Linked DNA regions of Caenorhabditis elegans. The protein of the gene in region 2 purifies or fractionates together with the protein of the main gene of each other region. This does not show direct contact. Each region holds a gene or a part of one and is shown on either strand. Other genes may lie near its edges. The genes, in order: fbxb-112 and trp-1.

Evidence for each region.
Region 1: the proteins of trp-1 (region 2) and fbxb-112 fractionate together in Caenorhabditis elegans (co-fractionation; one large-scale study listed by BioGRID). This does not show direct contact.

The regions. Positions count from the first base shown.
Region 1 is NC_003280.10:3,487,148-3,494,878, forward strand, and holds fbxb-112 (F-box domain-containing protein), read left to right. Parts: upstream 1-3,949; 5' UTR 3,950-4,031; coding exon 4,032-4,114; intron 4,115-4,887; coding exon 4,888-5,344; 3' UTR 5,345-5,436; downstream 5,437-7,731. Other genes in the region: Smu-2 suppressor of mec-8 and unc-52 protein, read left to right, coding at 1,194-1,524, 2,724-2,930; Y49F6B.9 (RBR-type E3 ubiquitin transferase), read right to left, coding at 6,900-7,183.
Region 2 is NC_003281.10:8,532,549-8,543,918, forward strand, and holds trp-1 (Transient receptor ion channel domain-containing protein), read left to right. Parts: upstream 1-3,371; coding exon 3,372-3,397; intron 3,398-3,798; coding exon 3,799-3,939; intron 3,940-4,271; coding exon 4,272-4,329; intron 4,330-4,376; coding exon 4,377-4,533; intron 4,534-4,582; coding exon 4,583-4,796; intron 4,797-4,852; coding exon 4,853-5,240; intron 5,241-5,346; coding exon 5,347-5,496; intron 5,497-5,540; coding exon 5,541-5,678; intron 5,679-5,760; coding exon 5,761-5,957; intron 5,958-6,001; coding exon 6,002-6,182; intron 6,183-6,435; coding exon 6,436-7,005; intron 7,006-7,175; coding exon 7,176-7,375; intron 7,376-9,169; coding exon 9,170-9,391; intron 9,392-9,517; coding exon 9,518-9,683; intron 9,684-9,769; coding exon 9,770-9,900; intron 9,901-9,946; coding exon 9,947-10,103; downstream 10,104-11,370. Other genes in the region: ZC21.6 (uncharacterized protein), read right to left, coding at 10,435-10,584, 10,772-10,798, 10,974-11,057, 11,132-11,236. UniProt on the Caenorhabditis elegans protein: Could mediate calcium entry and form a calcium permeant channel.

The DNA.
Region 1 (7,731 bases), on a different chromosome or scaffold from region 2:
TAGCTGAAAACAGCGAAAAAAAAAAATGTTTTTTTCAGGAAAAAATTTGCAAAAAAATGAAGAGCAACAATAATTCCCTTTTTTTTCTGTGTTTTTTTCGGAAAAATTGAGATCGAAAACGAAAAACAGCGAAAATTCCCAATTTTCCCAGTTTTTAAAACATTTTTTTGTAAAAATTTGGAAAAAACGAGTTTTTTCAGAAAAAAATGTGAAAAAAAAGGTAAATTACCAATTTATGCTTTTTTTTCGATCGAGTAAAAAATCGATTTTTCCAAGATTTTTCGCGAAAAATTCAAAAAAAAAGAACGAAAATTCTCGATTTTCTACTTTTTTTCGAAAAAAAAAGGAAATTATAGATTTTTCCAAGATTTTTCGCGAAAAAATTCGAAAAAAATGTTTTTTTCGAAAATTTCAGATTTTCTAATTTTTTCAGAAGAATTCGAAAAAAAAAATCAAAAAATTCGCAATTTTTAGATTTTTTTAAAATCTCAATTTTCTATAATTATTTTCCTAAAAAAATGTAATTAAAAAACCGCTAAAAACGGTAAATTCCAAATTTTTGCATTTTTTCAAAAAAAATTTGAAAAAAAAAATCAGAAAATTCTCAAATCTATTCCCTTTTTTTAAAATTTTTCCCAAACCAAAAAAAAAAACGGTAAATTTTCAAATTTAGCATTTTTCCAAAATTAAACATAAAAAAAAACGCAAATTTCCAAATTTCGTTTTTTTTTCAAAAAAGTTGAAAAATCCAGAAAATACCCTCTTGTCCATGAAAAAATACGAAAATTTTCAATAAAAAATCAATTTCTTCTTAAAAAATTAATTCTCGATTTTTCCATGAAAAAAAATCAAATATTAATTAAATTTGAAAAAAAAAAGAATTTATCTAATAGTTTCGTTTTTTTTCAGAGGAAAAATTTGAAAAAAAAAACAGTAAATTCTCTTTCTTTTTGAAAAAAAAAATTATCGATTCTTCCAAGTTTTTTCCCGAAAAAATCGACAAAAAAACGAGAATTTCCGATTTTCTATTTTTTTTTTCAAAAAAATGTGAAAAAAAAAATTAAAAAATTCCAATTTTGCATTTTTTTTTCAAAAAAAATTTAAAAACACCGTATAATTCCCGATTTTTCCATGAAAAAATACGAAAAATTCCAATAAAAATCAACTATTTTAAAAATTTGCCGTTTTTTCAGATATTTCGAAAAATCTGCCAACTCTCGTCGCGAGGAAGAACAAAACCGCCGTGAGCAGCAACGTGAACGTGAACGAGCCGAACAAGAACGCCGCCGTGAACGTGAAAAAGAACGTGAACAGGAAAAAGCCAAGGAACGAGAGAAAAAGCGAAAAGAATTGGAAGAATCATCAGGCTACGATGAATGTTATCCAGGCGGCCTAGTAGAGATGGGCGGTGCATGGGATTCAGATGAAGAAGCCGACTATTCGAAAATGGATGCAGGGCCTAAGAAGAATCAAGCTGTTAATCGATGGGATTTTGATACGGAGGAGGAGTATGCCTCTTATATGGTGCTTACAATTTTCTGGAGAAAAATATTTTAAAAAATAACGAAAATGGACCGAATTTTTGGAGAAAATTTTAAAAAAAACGACATTTTTCCCAAAAAATTGAAAAATTTCCGAAAAAACGTTCAAAATTTTCAAAAAAGGAGCATTTTTCGAAAAAAAAAACGATAATACGGAAATTTTTTGATTTTCCAGTTTTTTTCTCAAAGAAAATCGGAAAAAGGTTTTTTTTCTTTAAAAACGTCCAAAATTTTTCGAAAAAAGAGAAAATTTTCGATTTTCCGATTTTTTTCAGAAAAAAATTGAAAAAAAAAGAAATTTTCCGATTTTCTCAGAGAAAGACGAAAAGACGATATTTTTCGGAAAAAAGTTGAAAAATCAAAAAAAAAACCGAAAAACGGCCGAAATTTTCTAAAAATTGGAAATATTGTCGATTTTTCGAAAAAAAAGAGTCAAAAGTTTTCAAAAAAATATATTTTTTCGATTTTCCGTTTTTTTTTTTCAGTAAACATTGAAACAAACGAAATTTTTCCAAAAAAATCCAATTATTTTCCCAAATATCGAAATATTTTTGATTTTCCGTTTTTTTCAGAAAAAAGTTAAAAAAAAAAGGGAAAATTAAGATTTTCCTGATTTTTTTTGAGAAAAAATCGATAAAAATTGAATATTCTGGAAAAAACCTTTAAAAAATTCGAATTAAATCGAAAAACGTCCAAAATTTTCTAAAAAATTGAAATTTTTTTTGAAAAAAAACGGAAAAATTTAGATTTCCCGACTTTTTTCAATGAAAAATCGAATTTTCGTTGACTTTTCATTAAAAAATCCAAACGCATTTTTTTCCACTAAAATCTCGAAAAAGTGTCATATTGCACCATATTGTTTCCACATTCATATTATTTTGAGCTAAATCAGGTGATTTTCTGTATTTTGATACTAATTTCTATTTTTAGAAAAAATGTGGGAACAATATGGTGCAATATGACATTTTTTCGAGATTTTAGTGGAGAAAAAATGCGTTTGGAAACGAATTTTATAATAAAAAGTCAACGAAAATTCGATTTTTCATGGAAAAATAGGGAAATCGAAAACAAATTTGCTTTTTTTTCAAAAAAAAAAACGGAAATTCGAAATTTTTCCGTTCTTTCAAAAAAAAAATCGATTTTTTTGGAAATTTTTTTTTTCAAATTTTTAAAAATTTCCAGGAAGGACGTGAAGCTCTGCCAAAAGCCGCCTATCAATACGGAGTCAAAAATGGAGAAGGTGGCCGAAAGAACAAGAAACAGTCGGCAGTGTCGGATGCGAAGCGGCTCGATCGGGAGCTCAATGAGATTAACAAGATTATGGATAAACGGAAGGCCGGAGGAGATGGAGCCGGTGGTGGTGGAGATTATAAGAAGCCTAAATATTGATTTTTTTAATGATTTTTATGAATTCTTTGCTTCTTTTCCGTTCGTTTCAATAATAAATTTTACTCTAAAAAGTGATTTTTTAAAAAAATCTTTTTAAAAAAGTTGCTCTGAAAATGATAAAAATCGAATTATTTTTTTCGAATTTTTAACGGTGCAAATGCGCTCCACAGCAAATCCGGAAAACGCCCCGCCCTCAAAGCATGGGTCTCGTTAGGTATAAGCCGATATAGGTAAAGGGATAGGTAAAGGGATAGGTATAGGTATAGGTAAAGGCATAGGCATAGGCATAGGTATAGGTTTTGGTATAGGTATAGGTATAGGTATAGGTATAGGTATAGGACTAGGTATAGGTATAGGTATAGGTATAGGTATAGGTATCGGTATAGGTATCGGTATAGGTATAGGTATAGGTATAGGGATAGGTATAGGTATAGGTATAGGTATAGGTATAGGAATAGGTATAGGTATAGGTATAGGTATAGGTATAGGTATAGGTATCGGTATAGGTATAGGTATCGGTATAGGTATAGGTAAAGGGATAGGTATAGGTAAAGGGATAGGTATAGGTATAGGTAAAGGGATAGGTATAGGTATAGGTAAAGGCATAGGCATAGGCATAGGTATAGGTTTTGGTATAGGTATAGGTATAGGTATAGGTTTAGGTATAGGTATAGGAATAGGTATAGGTGTATAGGAATAGGTATAGGTATAGGTATAGGTATAGGTATAGGTATAGGTATCGGTATAGGTATCGGTATAGGTATAGGTAAAGGAATAGATATAGGTATAGGTATAGGTATAGGTATAGGTATAGGTATAGGTATAGGTATAGGTATAGGTATAGGTATAGGTAAAGGGATAGGTATAGGTATAGGTATAGGTATAGGTATAGGTATAGGTATAGGTATAGGTATAGGTATAGGTATAGGTATAGGCTGGCCACGACGCAAATACCTCCTCGTGGGAAGTGTGCGGGAAGAGATCATAGACTATTCCTACCATACTGCGTTACATACGCGGTATTAAATACCAACTATCGATCATTCAGCCATTGTCTTTGGCTGCCATTGTGCTCACTTGTTGCTCAGCAGTCTTACTGCAATGTCTGTCGTCTCTTTTTCTCTTCTACGTCTTTCTAAAAAGGCACTGGATAATGTAACGAAGCACTTGAAATACATTAAAATGTAAGTTCGTAAGATTTTTTTTCTGTAAGGTTATGGTTAGGCATAGGCTCAGACCTAGGTTTAGACTTAGGCTTAGGCGTACCTGGAAACAAAATTGAATTTTCACAGTTTCACACGTCTTTTTCACAGTAAAAGCTAGTTTTTTAAATCATACCCGACAATTTTACAGTTTGTCGAAAAATTGATATCGGCATGCATTTTCTTAATTGTTTCAAATTTTTGTATACCAACGAGTCCGTTTCTCTTTCGGATTTTTTTTGATTTCTTACTAACTAACTGACTGATACTCAACAAATTATTAAAGGTGGAGTAGCGCCAGTGGGGATTTTGTCTAAATGCACTCATAATGATCCAAAACAACCGAATTTCATAATAAAACACTTCAAAAATTTTTCGATTTTTCACAATTTCCGGTCAAAGTTTTGGCAAATTGTCAAAATTTTGAAAAATACTAGCTTTTGAGGAAATTTAAAGAAATGTCGCATGTTTCGACCTCTACAATGTTTTAATACAAATAATTTTAACAAAATTAAAACATAAAAAATGTCGAAAAAAATTTTTTGGTCGACTTCCAAAATTATGAGTGGCAAAAACTGAATAATTGCCACTTTTTGACAGTAAATAAAAAATTTTCAAAATTTTTTGAAAAGTTTTATCATGATATTTGGTCATTTTGGGACCAAAGGAGTGGTTTTTTTTTACTCCACCTTTAATAAACCTAATATCGGAGACAGTTGATGTAAATATTAAATATTACAGTGACTTCTTTTCAGAATCGGACTAACCACGCTCTCCAAGAAGACGTCAAGGTTGTTTAGACTCAATTACAAGGAGGCTCGAATTTTTATTGATATTACTGAAACAATTAATATTTCAATTCGAGATCCATCGAAACATATAACAAGAAAGTTATTGAATGACGGCGTAGCCAATCTACATGACTATCGGTATATGGGACCAACATGGACTGCTGAATGGGTTTTAAAACATTTCGGAATACGGGATTGGATGGTTCTCGTTAAACAGCTGACTGGCCAGGAAGAAATTGAGAAGCTTTGTTTTAGAAAAAACCACCAAAACTACTCAATCGATGAATTCAAGAAGTTTTTCGAAGGATTCAAAGTATCATGTTTATCAATTATTGATCCATCATTTAACTCTCATGGTTTGATTCCCTGCTTTTCCCCTGAAAAAGTGATGCACTTGACTATCGAAAAAGCTTCTAACTAATCGATTCTCGCAGCAAACTTCGAAACCCTAGATATTCACGATGATAGCACTTACACACTGAACGATGTATTGGTAATGAATAGCCCGAATATCTTAATTTCTCTGGGAACACTGTCTGACGTTGAGCTCAACCTGTACTTGAAGCATTTCATTAAAGGCTCAAATCCGATGCTTGAGTTCTTGTTTTTGCTTTACGACTTTGATGATCAAATTATGAAGGAAGATGTTGTCTTCAAAGGAGTTCCTTATACAATTTTATCGCAAAATCTGGAATCATGTTACGTCAAAAAAGAGACTGGTGAGGAAGAATATGTATATGGTGGATATGAAATAACGAGAGATGATGGTAAAATGGCACTTGTTCATATCAAAAAAACGACGCTCATTTATCGAGTTCAAAGTTATTCTTGTTGGTTTAACTGAACGGGTATTACGGGACGGGCGTTATTGGCGGAGATTATTCTGACCAGGGACTCTATTTTGGTGACAAGAGAATTATGTGTCGAATGATATATTTTCTGAATGCTAATACAATGAACATACCGAATTCAAAATAAAATCTTGCCCAAATTGATGTTAAAACAATTTTTTTTACTTCGAATGCGTATTTAAGCCAAAATGTCGTTGTTTTTGAAGCTTCAGATATCGATGGACTTGGAAGATACAAGAAAATAGTCAACAGACAAAATATTAAGAACAATACGAAAATCATTGCAAAATATAATGTGCATTTAAAATGTTAAAAATTAGCATAAAATTTCATCGTCTTATGAGATGAATGAGATCGTCTTTGAAAGGAAATAGAAAAATTAAAGTGTTCATAATAATATAATGATTTTCGTATGTATTGTTCTTAATATTTTGTCAGTTGACTATTTTTTTGTATCTTCCAAGTCCATCGATATATGAAGCTTCAAAAACAACGACATTTTGGCTTAAATACGCATGCAGAGTAAAAAAATTGCCTTAACATCAATTTGGGCAAGATTTGATTTGATTTGATTTATTACGATTGGGATCGTGATGGAATAAAAGCAGTATAGTATAAAGACAGAAAAATAAATACACAATACATAGAATACACAATACAATAATCAAAAAGTTACGAATAAAGTACAAGCAAGAAAAGCAATTATTACCTGCAAAAGTTGATTAATTGGAACATTAAAGTGAACATTTAATTTATTAATTGTATTAATTAATGTACATTTAATTAATTGAATTATTTTATTTTAAATTCAATATGTTCATTGTATTAGCTTTCATAAAATATATCATTCGACCCACAACTCTCTTGACACCAAAAAAAGAGTCCATAGTGAGCTATCGTTGTATTTTTTTGGTTTTCTGTAGTTCAACTATGCTGTAAATTGTGCTCATTTTCTGATCTTCGCCATTTCTCGTGTATCATTGTTTTTCTCACTAATCGTTTATATAAATTTGCATTTTTTATTTAAAATTATTTTTTCACTATGTTTCACACTCAAAACCTCGAAAAACATACATTATTATTAAAAAATTAAATTATGATGTAAAATATTAAAAAGAGATTCTTCTAATTAAAATCATCGCCCGACGACGACGAGAAATCCTCCGAATAGTCTGATGACGTCACTGATGATGGTCCGGGTGCCGAGCCATCCGCATTTCGGTGCTCAGGCTCTGGCTCCGGCGGCGGAGCCAATGACATTGTTGCTCCATGGTAACCGTCCACGTGGAAGGTGTCTGCAATCGGAACCTCTCGTCGCTTCTTCTTTTGAACATAGTCGACGACATCGTGAACTAACGCCTTCGGTACCATGATGTACGTGTAGCCAAGTGCAAATGGAACGCCGATTGCTGGAAAATATTGATTTTTTGGAAAATTTGAAAAAATATTGGTGGGGTATGCGATTTTTTCCGGTCAAATTGAAGAATTTTAGCGAAATCTCTATGTGTCGATTTACGCGCGGCTCGTGTACTCCCCGAGGAGAAGGATTTTCGATTTCTTGCGATTTTTTTTCGGTGTTTTCAAATCAGAAAATTTGAATTTCCCGCCAAAAATTTTACGTTTTTCAGAAAATTCAAATTTCCCGCCAAAATTGAATTTTTTAAAAGAAAATTTAAATTTCCCGCCAAAATTGAATTTTTTTAAAGAAAATTTAAATTTCCCGCCAGAACTGTTTTTTTTGGGAAAATTTGAATTAGCCGCCTAAATTAAATTTTTTTTTAGAAAATCTGAATTTCCCGCCAAAATTAATTTTTTTAAAGAAAATTCAAATTTCCCGCCAACATCACAAAATTGGCGATTTATATCTATGAAAAATCAGGGAAAATGGTGAAAAATCAGCGAAAATGGCCAAAATTTCTGCCCACTTCTCCACGAGGACTCCACGAGCTGCGTAAAT
Region 2 (11,370 bases):
ATCCCTGGAGACATTTTGGAACCGAATGGTCTTCATACTTGTTTTTTTGAGTAACGAACAAAAGTTAAATATTCAAAAACATACGCAGAGCCATGTTCTTTTTTAAAATTAAACCTTATTATCGTTTATGAGGTTTTTTTTAGAATTTTTGTTACTCTATTGGTTCAATTTCTGTAACGTCCTTAGAAAGTATGTAGACTGATCACGCGGGGCGGTTTGAATGCCATAAAATATGGGCTGAACGTTGGCCATTGGAAGTAGGCACGCATGTAGGCATGTGGCAGGCGTGGGCCGCCTAGATGGCAAAAAGGAAGGCAAATAGTTTTTTGCCATCTAGCTTGTTATTAACTTTTTAATAACTTAATAATTTTTAGGTTAACAATTTTAACTTTTAAATCTAACAATTATTTCGAGGTGAAACTAAAATGGAGTGACAAGAATATTCGAAAAGTCGCAACAAAAAAAATAGAAACAAATCATTTTCTGATTTCTTGTCACTGTTTTCTCATATCAAAACAGATTATTTCCTTAAATTTCTTTTTTTTTCTCCGATTTTTTGCTACCCCCCGTATTCTAAAGAAGTCCACAGATTTAGGAAGACATCATAATTAAATGACGACAAATTTGTCGCGGGAAACGGCATTAAATAAGGAGATTAAACTGGTGGAGCAACGAGGATGAATCACAAGAATTCGTATCAGTATTTGGATACGGAGACGTAAGTTTTATTTTTAGTTTTTAATTTATTTTGTGTTTGAAAAAAATTTGCAGATTTGTTTTGATATAAAAACAAAACATATGAAAGTTTGCGGTTTGCAAAAATATTTGAAAATTTATATTGAACAATTTTTCAATGGTGGCGTAAATATAAGATTCTGTTTCTAAAAATTGATGATTATGGTATGTCCAACTGAAATTTTGATGAAGTATCATTAAGTTGTTTATTTAACTGAAAGTTACAGAAAAATTTAAATCTTTCGGCGAAACTGCAGACGGAAAATGATCCCTGCACTTTGCGTAAAAAATGCCCAAAAGAAGTGAAAACATCGAGTTCCCCACACGATGAAAAATGTGCTCTTTGCGCTGAAATATGATTCAAGCGAGTACATAACTGGTCTCTAGGGACATTTATTCTTCTATAGTTTTCATAAATTTTCAAGTTTCTTGCAAAACACGTTCAATTTTCAAGTTTAACTTTAGTGATTGAGCCGAATTTTTTGGACACATAGACTTCCTTCTTCGGACGCCTTATCATTGTTGATTCTGGTATGAAACGCTTTTTAGAAATATTTTCAATAGTTAAAAAACCTTCCAAGTTCAATTGTACTCACAAATATTTTCACTAGAAGTCTACTTTCTAGTCCTCCTAAAAAAGTCAAGACTTTTGACATCTTCAGTCTTTCTCGCTCGTCTCTTCTCGAATAAGATTACCGGCGGTTCTTACGAAAACGACAAGTTGTGAGCGCATTTCTATTTTCAACGTCTTCAAACGAAAATCAAAAAGGGAGAAGAGGGTCCCCCGAAAAAAATTGGGGGCGGAGTCATGTTCGATATCACAAGTCTCTTTTTTTTTTCGTTTTGACAGGAAAACGAAGGCTCATCTCGTCAAATTCGGGGCGACATCTTCCTTTTCTTTTCCATCTGCTTCTTCTCCTTCTTTCTTCTGTTTTTCTTCTTTTCTCTTTTAGATCATTCTTCTTATTCAACCGCCGTGGTTCCTCTTTCTCCACTCTTCATCATCATCTTCACACTCACTGATTTTTTGAGCCATTCCCATCTACTCTTATCCACCCCCTTCGGGCATTTTTCACACACTTTCCTTCAGTCTTTCCACCTCTTTCCGTGTCTACTGGGTTAGAGAATTTCAAGCTTATGAACATCTTCTTCGAACAGTTTTAAATTGTGTGCCTGTTGTTTACTTGAATTTGTGTTCGGCTAATTCTTTTGAGTCGGGCTAAGTTCCTGTCTACCACCTATTTTTGCATTTACAATTAGAAGCAAACTCTGGAAATTGTTAATTTTTTTCTCGTGCTGTTTAAATGAAAAAAAAACGGATAGTTGATTTATTATTTTTTTCGAAGTTCAAGTAGGAGCATTTTCATTAGTTACACTGGAAATGCATTTTCAAGCTTAAAAGCAAAGTAATTATTATTGACAACTGTTTGATCAAAATTCATCCCATTCATCCCTCTATTTTGTAGAAAAAAGGTGAAAAATAGCTTGAGAAAAGGATCTCTGATTTATTGTAAACACCTTGTTGTCAAATCACAGACACTTTTTAAAAAAGAAAACATCTCAATTGACAACAGTTGTTTCAATGACCAAACTCCTCTTACTATCCAGACAAACAAATGTTCACAAAAAATACATTTTCCCTCCTGGTCATCCATAGCTCAAAGACCCCACCACGTGTCCCATGTTTTTGAACTTTCAGAAATGTCAGGTCCGTTGGGAAATCTTCCAAATATTTTCTCAGAGATTTGTAGACGTTCTTTCATTTGTTTGTCTTTCCGAGAAGCTGAAAACCTATTTGTATTATACATGTGTCTACTGCCTGAGCAATTTGATATTCGATATTCGCAATGACAAAAGAAGGGTAGGTAATTGGAGGCAACAGCTGATCCGTCTGTGGTTTATAGAAAAAATCTATCTGACATTTTTTGGAGTATCATCGGTGAGGTTTTTTATTGAAATACCCTCATAAAAGCCCATCATGATGAAATATTGAAGTTTTTAAATTTTTTAGTGGTTTCGAGACTTGCTTAAGGCCTACAAAGTTCATATATAAAAAGTAATATACAATGCCCCACCTAAGTTAAGGGATTAAATTGAGTTGGTATTTAAAAAATACAAAAGAGAAGCGCGGTGCGATCGACCTTTTTTGGCTGTAGTTTTAGTTTCTAAATAAAGGTTTTTTGTTCTGAAAAACCTTTCATATACAATTTTTTATTAGTATTATACTTGCAGTTTTCAAACTACCTATTACTGTCCTTCTCTATTTTGAATAATCCTAAAATTATTATTTCTCAACTCAGTCGTCCTCTCGTTTCTTCGTCGAAGTTTCCACATGTGTTTTCATTTTCCATTTAATTTCCCATGTCTCATCACTTCACAATCATCATCATCTGTTAGAAATTTGTCCTCACGGGATTTTGACACAACTATAAAAATTTCTTTCCTCTATCCTTTGACCGACTTTAAACATTTTTTTCGAAAAAAAATTGACGAAGAGGTTTTTGTTTAATTTCAATTTTTGTCTCTCAGATAAACTTGTAAATTTGTATAAGCTTTAAAAATGTTCAGCTTCTTCTATTCTTCTCACTAGGACTAGAAGAAGCTTCTATCAATTCGTGCCGACAACAACGAAGGGAATGATTGGAATGGAGGATGGCGTCCGGTGCGCATAACTTTTTAGAAGGAAATATAGACGAGACCCTCCACTTGAGTTAATAAGTTTTTCGAGTGCTCTATAACTTAAGAATCAGGGGGCTATGTTAAGCATTTGCGGGGGCTCTAGACTGAACTACGTAAGCGCGGGGTGTAATAGAGGGACCACAACAAAACGATTTTATCGGTTGTTTCTTTCCAATTTGCCCCAACAACTAGCCATCAAACGTTTAACAAGAAAGTTTGGCGGAAAAGCACAAACGATTCAATTTTATTAGGAGGAGCTTTTTTCCCTGCTTTCCACTCTATCAAAGTAGATTTTACTTCACTTTGCCAAAGTACAAACACACAAAAAAAAACTCTAGGGGCACCTTAAAGCAGGAAATGGAATAATTTTGTTTAAAATTGAAGGATGCTGTCGGCAGCAGGACGCCGATTCTCTCGATGTGCTCCATCGCCAAGGCCAAGGAGGAACTACGCTTTGGCGAATATCCCACCACCGGCTGCTGTTCACATTCGGACAAATGATATGATTAGTCCAGAAGAAAGAAGGTTTGTTGTTTTATAAAGTGTTGGGCACTTTTCCAGTAAAAACATTTCTCCGTACGTGTTTTCATCTTGAGCTTTTTCAGCATTTATATTAAAACTTACCATAGTTTAGCTATTGGTATTGCACCATAAGTAGTTTTGTTAGATATATTAATTGAACTAAAGACAATCTGCTACTCGTAGGGGCTTACCTTTAAGCTGCTCGAAACGACCTCAATATATTTATATATAATAAACAATAATAATGGGTTATTTTCGAGAAAAAGTCGTGTAAAAAGTTTAAAACACGCCCAATTATTACATGGTTACTACATATTGTCTAATAATCTGTTTAGGTTCCTCGAAGCTGCAGAACTTGGAAACAAGCCCACATTACAAGAATGCTTGGATTACGTGAGTTATTTCAAATCATTGTTTTTTTGAAATTAAAATTATTGAAGGACGGAGACCGCCGTCTCAACGTGAATTGCCTCGATTCAATGGGAAGAACAGCTTTGGAAATTGCAGTTGACAACGAAAATATGGAAGTTGTTGAACTTTTGCTCCAACAACCAGATATCAGAATTGGCAATGCACTGCTATGTGCAATCCGAGAAGGTCCGTAAACCACAGCATTTTTAAAAAATATTTTTTATAATTATTCCAGGTGTATATCGTCTTGTCGAAGTTCTTGTAAATCATCCGAATATTACTCGAGAAATGCTTGGAGACGGTTGGAGTCAAGCTCTTGATCCTTCCGAAGCTGCTAGTGCCGAATATTCAAGTGATATTTCTCCGGTTATATTGGCAGCACAACTCAACCAATTTGAGATTTTGCAAATGTTAATTCGAAAAGATGCAAGTATTGAAAAACCGCACAGGTATTTTTTAAAATACAAACAAATTTGGGGTCGAAATACCAATCCTAACATTTCAGACATTCCTGCATTTGCGAAACATGCGATCGTGAGCGTTTGAACGACTCATTACAGTACTCTCTAAAACGAATCAACACATTTCGAGCTCTTGCAAGCCCTGCATGGATGTCTCTTACAAGTCCCGATCCAATTCTATCCGCTTTCAAACTTTCATGGGATCTACAACGATTGGCATTTGAGGAGCATGAATTCAAAGAGACATATTTGCAACTTTCGGAGCAATGTAAACAATATTCATGTGATTTATTAAGTCAATGTCGAAGTTCTGAAGAAGTTATCGCAATTTTAAATAAGGATGGAAATGTGAATGATGATAATATTGATGTTTGGGCAAGTAAACTATCGCTTTCAAGGTTAAAACTGGCTATCAAATATGAACAAAAAGCTGTGAGTTATTTTTTTTGAAATTGTGCAACAAATAATTTATTATTTCAGCTCAACTAAATTCCCTGAACACATATTATTAAACTTAATCAAACTTATCAATTTTCAGTTTGTCTCTCATCCTCATTGTCAACAGTTGCTCACCTCTATCTGGTATGAAGGTATTCCATATCGGCAGCGGAGTGGTACCTGGGCTAATTTTTTCCTCTACGCTTTTCTACTTTTTCTCTGGCCAATATTCTGTCTCATGTATATTCTAGTGAGTATTTGAAAAATTTTCAATTTTGACAAAGATAATTTCAGATGCCAAAAAGCCGATTGGGTCGGTTAGTACGGTCTCCATTCATGAAATTCTTTTACTACTCGGTGTCGTTTGCAACGTTTTTAGGACTTTTAACGTGGGCCACTTTTGAAGATTATCGATACGAAAAAGGAGAAAGGGTTAGTTTTAAGAAATTTGGAACATTTCTGAAGTTGAAATTATTAACTCAAAAAAATTCTATATAGGAAATCATATTTCCAGGGTGGAATGACAAGAGCATCTGACCGTGGTCCACCAGCAACATGGGTTGAATCACTCGTATTCACATGGGTAATTGGAATGTTATGGTCAGAAATTAAGCAATTATGGGAAGAAGGTTTTAAACGATATATGAGACAATGGTGGAATTGGCTTGATTTCCTGATGATTTGCCTTTATTTATGCACCATTTCAATAAGGTATAATATATCAGAACTATACAAAATATAAAATTGATTTTCAGACTAAGCGCGTATTATATCTTTACATATCGTGAGGATCCATATCGGTACACAGTCCGCACATATTGGACATCTGAAGAACCAATGTTGGTAGCGGAGGCGTTGTTCGCTGTTGGAAATGTTTTTTCGTTTGCTCGAATTATTTACTTGTTCCAGACAAATCCGTATTTGGGGCCACTGCAGGTAAATAAATTTTGCATATAGCAATAAATAATTGACTTTGTGCAGAAGGGATAGTGTTGGGCAATACTCGGTTTAGACCGAGCCCCCAGCCAGCAAAGTTAAAAAGGTCAAATTTGGCCAGTTGGAGCAAACTGAAATAAAACTTGGACTCAGCCTAAACACAGTCTTGCACAAATTTTTCCACCTTTCAAGCCAAGTTATTTTGTGTTAAAACAAAAATGAGCCTCACTTTCAATTAAAAGACAATTTTCAGATATCCCTTGGATGTATGTTGGTGGACGTTGCAAAGTTCTGCTTCATCTTCGTCCTAATAATAAGTTCTTTCTCAATTGGCCTTGCTCAACTCTACTGGTACTATGATCCAAATACAGATGTATGCCTACCTGGTGCCACATGCAAACACAGTTCCAATGTATTCTCCTCGATTGCCGATTCCTATTTGACACTTCTCTGGTCTCTATTTTCGATTACAAAACCAGAAGATACCGATGTTGTGGAAAATCACAAAATAACTCAATGGGTTGGACAAGGAATGTTTATTATGTATCATTGTACTTCAATAATTGTCTTACTTAACATGCTCATTGCTATGATGTCTCATTCGTTTCAAATTATCAATGATCATGCGGATCTTGAATGGAAGTTTCATCGAACGAAGCTTTGGATGGCTCACTTCGATGAAGGATCAAGTCTTCCACCTCCATTTAATATTATAGTCACTCCGAAGTCATTAATATATGTGATGAATTGTCTATTCAACACTGTCAGATGGCTTCTAGGAAAGTACACTTATCAGAAAAACAGGAATCGGGCAACTATCAGGGTAAGATTTTCGAATTTTGAAAATGAAAACTGCCTCCACAACAAATTCGATGCAAAATTAATAGAAGCTGTGAAACCGAGGAAATACGGTCAATAATCTTCAAAGACGTTTACCAGAACTACCAAGAAAATATAAAGCATTCATCTTTACTTATTTTTCCCTTATTCCAGCGTCCTGGCTATTCTCGAAAAAGAAATGAAATGGAAAAATCTGGTGGTCACGACGATGATTCTTTGAAACCATTGACATATGCTGATATAATTACAAGACTTGTGGCAAGATTTATACATCAAACAAAGAAAGATATGAAAATGGACGGAGTTAATGAAGATGATCTACATGAAATCAAACAAGACATTAGTAGTTTGAGGTGAGCCATTTTAAAATTTTTATATGAAAAATTTCAAGATCCTACAATATCTTCGTTTCATCCAAATAGCAGTTGAAAATCTGCCAAGCAGCCTCTAATAAATGCCGAGTGTACAGACTCCGCCCCTTTTTCGCGTTTTTTCGCGTTTTTTTTGGCTTGCGAAAAAATGTCACACTACGTTTTCATTCACAACTCCTGAACCGTGTGACTTCATGCTCTAATATTTGAAATCCTACTAGAAATATTTTGCCCCACGGTGGAGCAGAAAACGGCACTAAGTTCGGAGCAAAATTGAGCCCAGGGCGGCTTTCCCCAGTTTGAAAAAATTTTTTGTTGCTCTTTTTACCCCCAAAAAAGCATGTTTTAATTGAATTAAAATTCGGGTTTTGCTCGGTTTTGTTTCAAATTTATGTGCAAGATACTACTCAGAGAGACTGATTTTTTGAAAAAAAGTTTGAGTTTATAAGTGCAAAAGGAAAAAAGTTGTGATAAAACAAAAGGCCAAAAAATGACATTTTGCCAAAAAAAAATTTTTTTCCGAAAAAGTAGTTTTTCGTCTTTATCTCAAGTTCTACTTCATCTTTTTCGATACTTTTTTTTCTACCCCACGTAAAAAAGTACGCTGAACACGATTTTCAACTCAGAATTAAGAAAAGTTTTATGAGTCGGCCGAGCAAGACGAATAAGTGCCACATTTTGCACACTTTCCCATTTTCGCGAATCTACTTTTTCAATCATAACTCGGTCAGTTTTCAAGTTTTCTTAGTTTTCCAAAAATTGACGTGTAGGTCTCATCAAGACGCATCGAGACATATAAAATGTGTAAAAAGTTCAGTGGGAAAGTTTTTCAAGAAAACAATAATTCAAAAATTTAGTATTGGGGGGAGTGGTTTCCTGGGTCTCCTGAACATTTTTTCCACTAAAGTTTTGCGGAATGTATTTTTGATTCATAGTTTTTGATTTTATTTAATGGAAGATGAAGTTTCGTCGCATTAGAAATACTCTGCCAAGAGATATTATTTTTATTAATTTTCAGGCCAAAACTTGTTTTTTTCTACAAATCGACCGGTTTACGAGGTATAGCCCTCAACTGTACGTCTCCTTTTTGGGAAATCAATAATGAGTACAATCCTGTAATAAAATTTTCAAAAATTCGTTTTCCCGCTGACATATCAGTAATAAACGGTTTTCGAACGTCTTCCCCAAATAGTAATAATTGAAGAAAGCGGAATCGAAAGACGACTTCCTCCAGAAAATTTTCTTCCCTACATCCCAGTTTGAGGTGTCTCCTGCATGGTCGAGTGGTTAGTGCGAATGACTGCAGAAATTTTGGTAGTTGGTTCAATTCTACCAAGTGATAAATTTTTTTGTTTTTTTGTGAGTAATCGGGATTCGAATAGAAATACTCGATTTCATACAAAATATGGGTACGTCTCCCCTAATATAAAGCCTCCTCAAACTTCAATCAATCAAAACTCAGCTTTAACTGATTCATCGGGTGCATCTGTTTTTGGTCAAACCGAACTCAAAAATCAATAAGACTCCCACCTACTGAAATTTTCACGAACCCTCTAACAGGTTCGAGGCGAAGCCGAGAGCCTACGCCCGGCAAGGGGACTCGCCTTACACCCCCTACAACCGGCGGGCCCGCAGGGCCCGCTAGTCTGAAAATCTAGAAATACAGAAAAGTTTTGGTTTTTAGGTAAAAACGATTCTGTATTTTTAGATTATCAGATTAAATATCCAGCTTTTTCCTGCTCAAAAAATTATCATAATTTAATTAATACGTTAAAGATACGAACTCCGAGATGATCGTCGTCGTGAAATCGTTCGCAGCTCATCACATATTGATGCAGTGAAACGAGATATTATGCGTACAATGAGTACAACATCACGTCGACCTTACGGTGGAAGTATGCGTCTTCCAAAGACACGACCATCAGTTGCAGAAGAATCAGAAGAAGATGATAAAAGTGATGAAACAAGTTCAACAGACGAGGAGGCTGATGAGACGAGGTTTTTCCTAAAGTACTTTCTTTCAAAACTTCTACGCTTTTTTCAGTTTTAAAAATAGTGTAGTGTAGTTGAAACTCCTTATTTGCAGTATTTTAGAAATGATTTATAAAAATTTAACAATTAAAGATCTCGGAAGTCATCAGTACTCTACATTCCCCCTGTCAACTCAACTCTACCTGGAATTATAAGTGAAGAAGCTCCAGTTAAGAAAAGCACAAAAAGACGTGCAAGTGAGGCTGATTCAAAACTTCCCGATAGACCTTTATCAGATACTTATACATCTTCATTTACGGTAAGTAGACAAAAGGGTTGGTGTATTTTACGGTTGTACAAAAAATTCACCATTCCGCTTCAAAAAAATATTGCCGATACTTTCAGCCTAAACTGTTACCGGTATTTGCTCAACCACCACACAGTGCTCTTCGAAAAACGGATACATCAATGAGCTTCCCAATCAACGGAACAGCTCTGGATACTTCAATTGTAAAACCTCCAAGGGGAGTTTTGAGGTAGATCTGAATATTCCTTTTTTACTGAAAATTGTCAATTTTCCAGGGCTTCCCAAGAAAACCTACCAGCTGTGGAATTGATCGAAACGCTGAAAAAGGAGATGAATGAGAAATTGGATCGATTAATAAGTGGAATCTCTGAAAATGTGAAGAGTCCCAGCCCTGCATCTCATAGTCATGTCGGTTTTAATGTAGAAAAATAGTTTCAATTTATGTTTCCTCTAATGTCAACGGGTACATATATATTTCTAATTTAGGTAATAATCGAATAATAAAAATTATATTATAAACACTTCTTTCAATCTTCGTTATTCTATAGATCTAGATATCACATAAAACAAATTTTCTAAACGTTTCTGGCGTTTTCTCGTTTTGAGGTTCCAATAGAGCTCGTACAAAGTGCCTTATGTCGCTAAATTGAAACTACTGTAAAAGTAAATTATTTATTTTATCAGTTGATATCAACCCAGTAAAACAAAAAAAGTTCATTTGAAAGTTTAAAAAAACAACAAAAAGAAAGAGATTTAATATTATTTAGGCTATATTTTCTTCTATAATTGTTGCACTTTTCTGAGCATTTATTTTCAGTCTCCTACTCCTTGATGGCTTAATCTTCATTAATGATTCCATTTGCACACTCTCAGTTTTTCTAGATGGTCCCGTCGATGTCTTGTTGCATGATATCTATAATTTAATAGCTGAAATTCCAATCAATTTCCGAACTAAATTAGCTCAGAAGTTTACTACAAATTAAAAATAAGCATTCATAATGTTATAGACATGCGCAACAAGCAAACGTGTTCGGTGGAGCGCTAGGGTAAGAGTGATGTGCATAAGTGGGATGAATATATTAATTGTTATGTTAACATACCTCTATTTGATTCAAAATTAGTTTAGTCTGAAAAAAGCGAAATATTTACGCGGAAAAGTCAAGCAAGGTGAAGTTTATTTGATAGTTATCACTTGGAGCTATTGGTTCTTTTTAATTGAAGTTAATGAGAAACTCATAAAGACTTATCCGAAAATAATTCAATTCCAAGTGACTAACTAGCAAATAAAGTAATAATTCGTACATCGTTAGCCGTGTTAGTGGGACCAGTTAGCAAGCGATGTCGAATACTGTTGAAAAACGTTCGCCGAAGCACGTCGTCATTAAACTGAAATTACAAACCGATGAACACATATCGATGAATACCTTTGTGTGAAACACGAAGAAACACGCAATGTCTACCGTATCAACTGTTGCATCAATAACCATTCGACATATCCATCCGATAAGGGCAGCTGCTGTATTCCACATATACAGTACAACTGGGTCAAGACACATTGGTTCATTCTGAATTGGAAAATGTAGTTAAAAAATATCAAAAGAGAGTGTTTCCTCTGGAATGTTTCAAGTCGAACACTGGTCTTGAGATGGGCGCTTGTAAAATTTGGTTTTATAAAAGAAAACTTTGACGGTCGCCAATA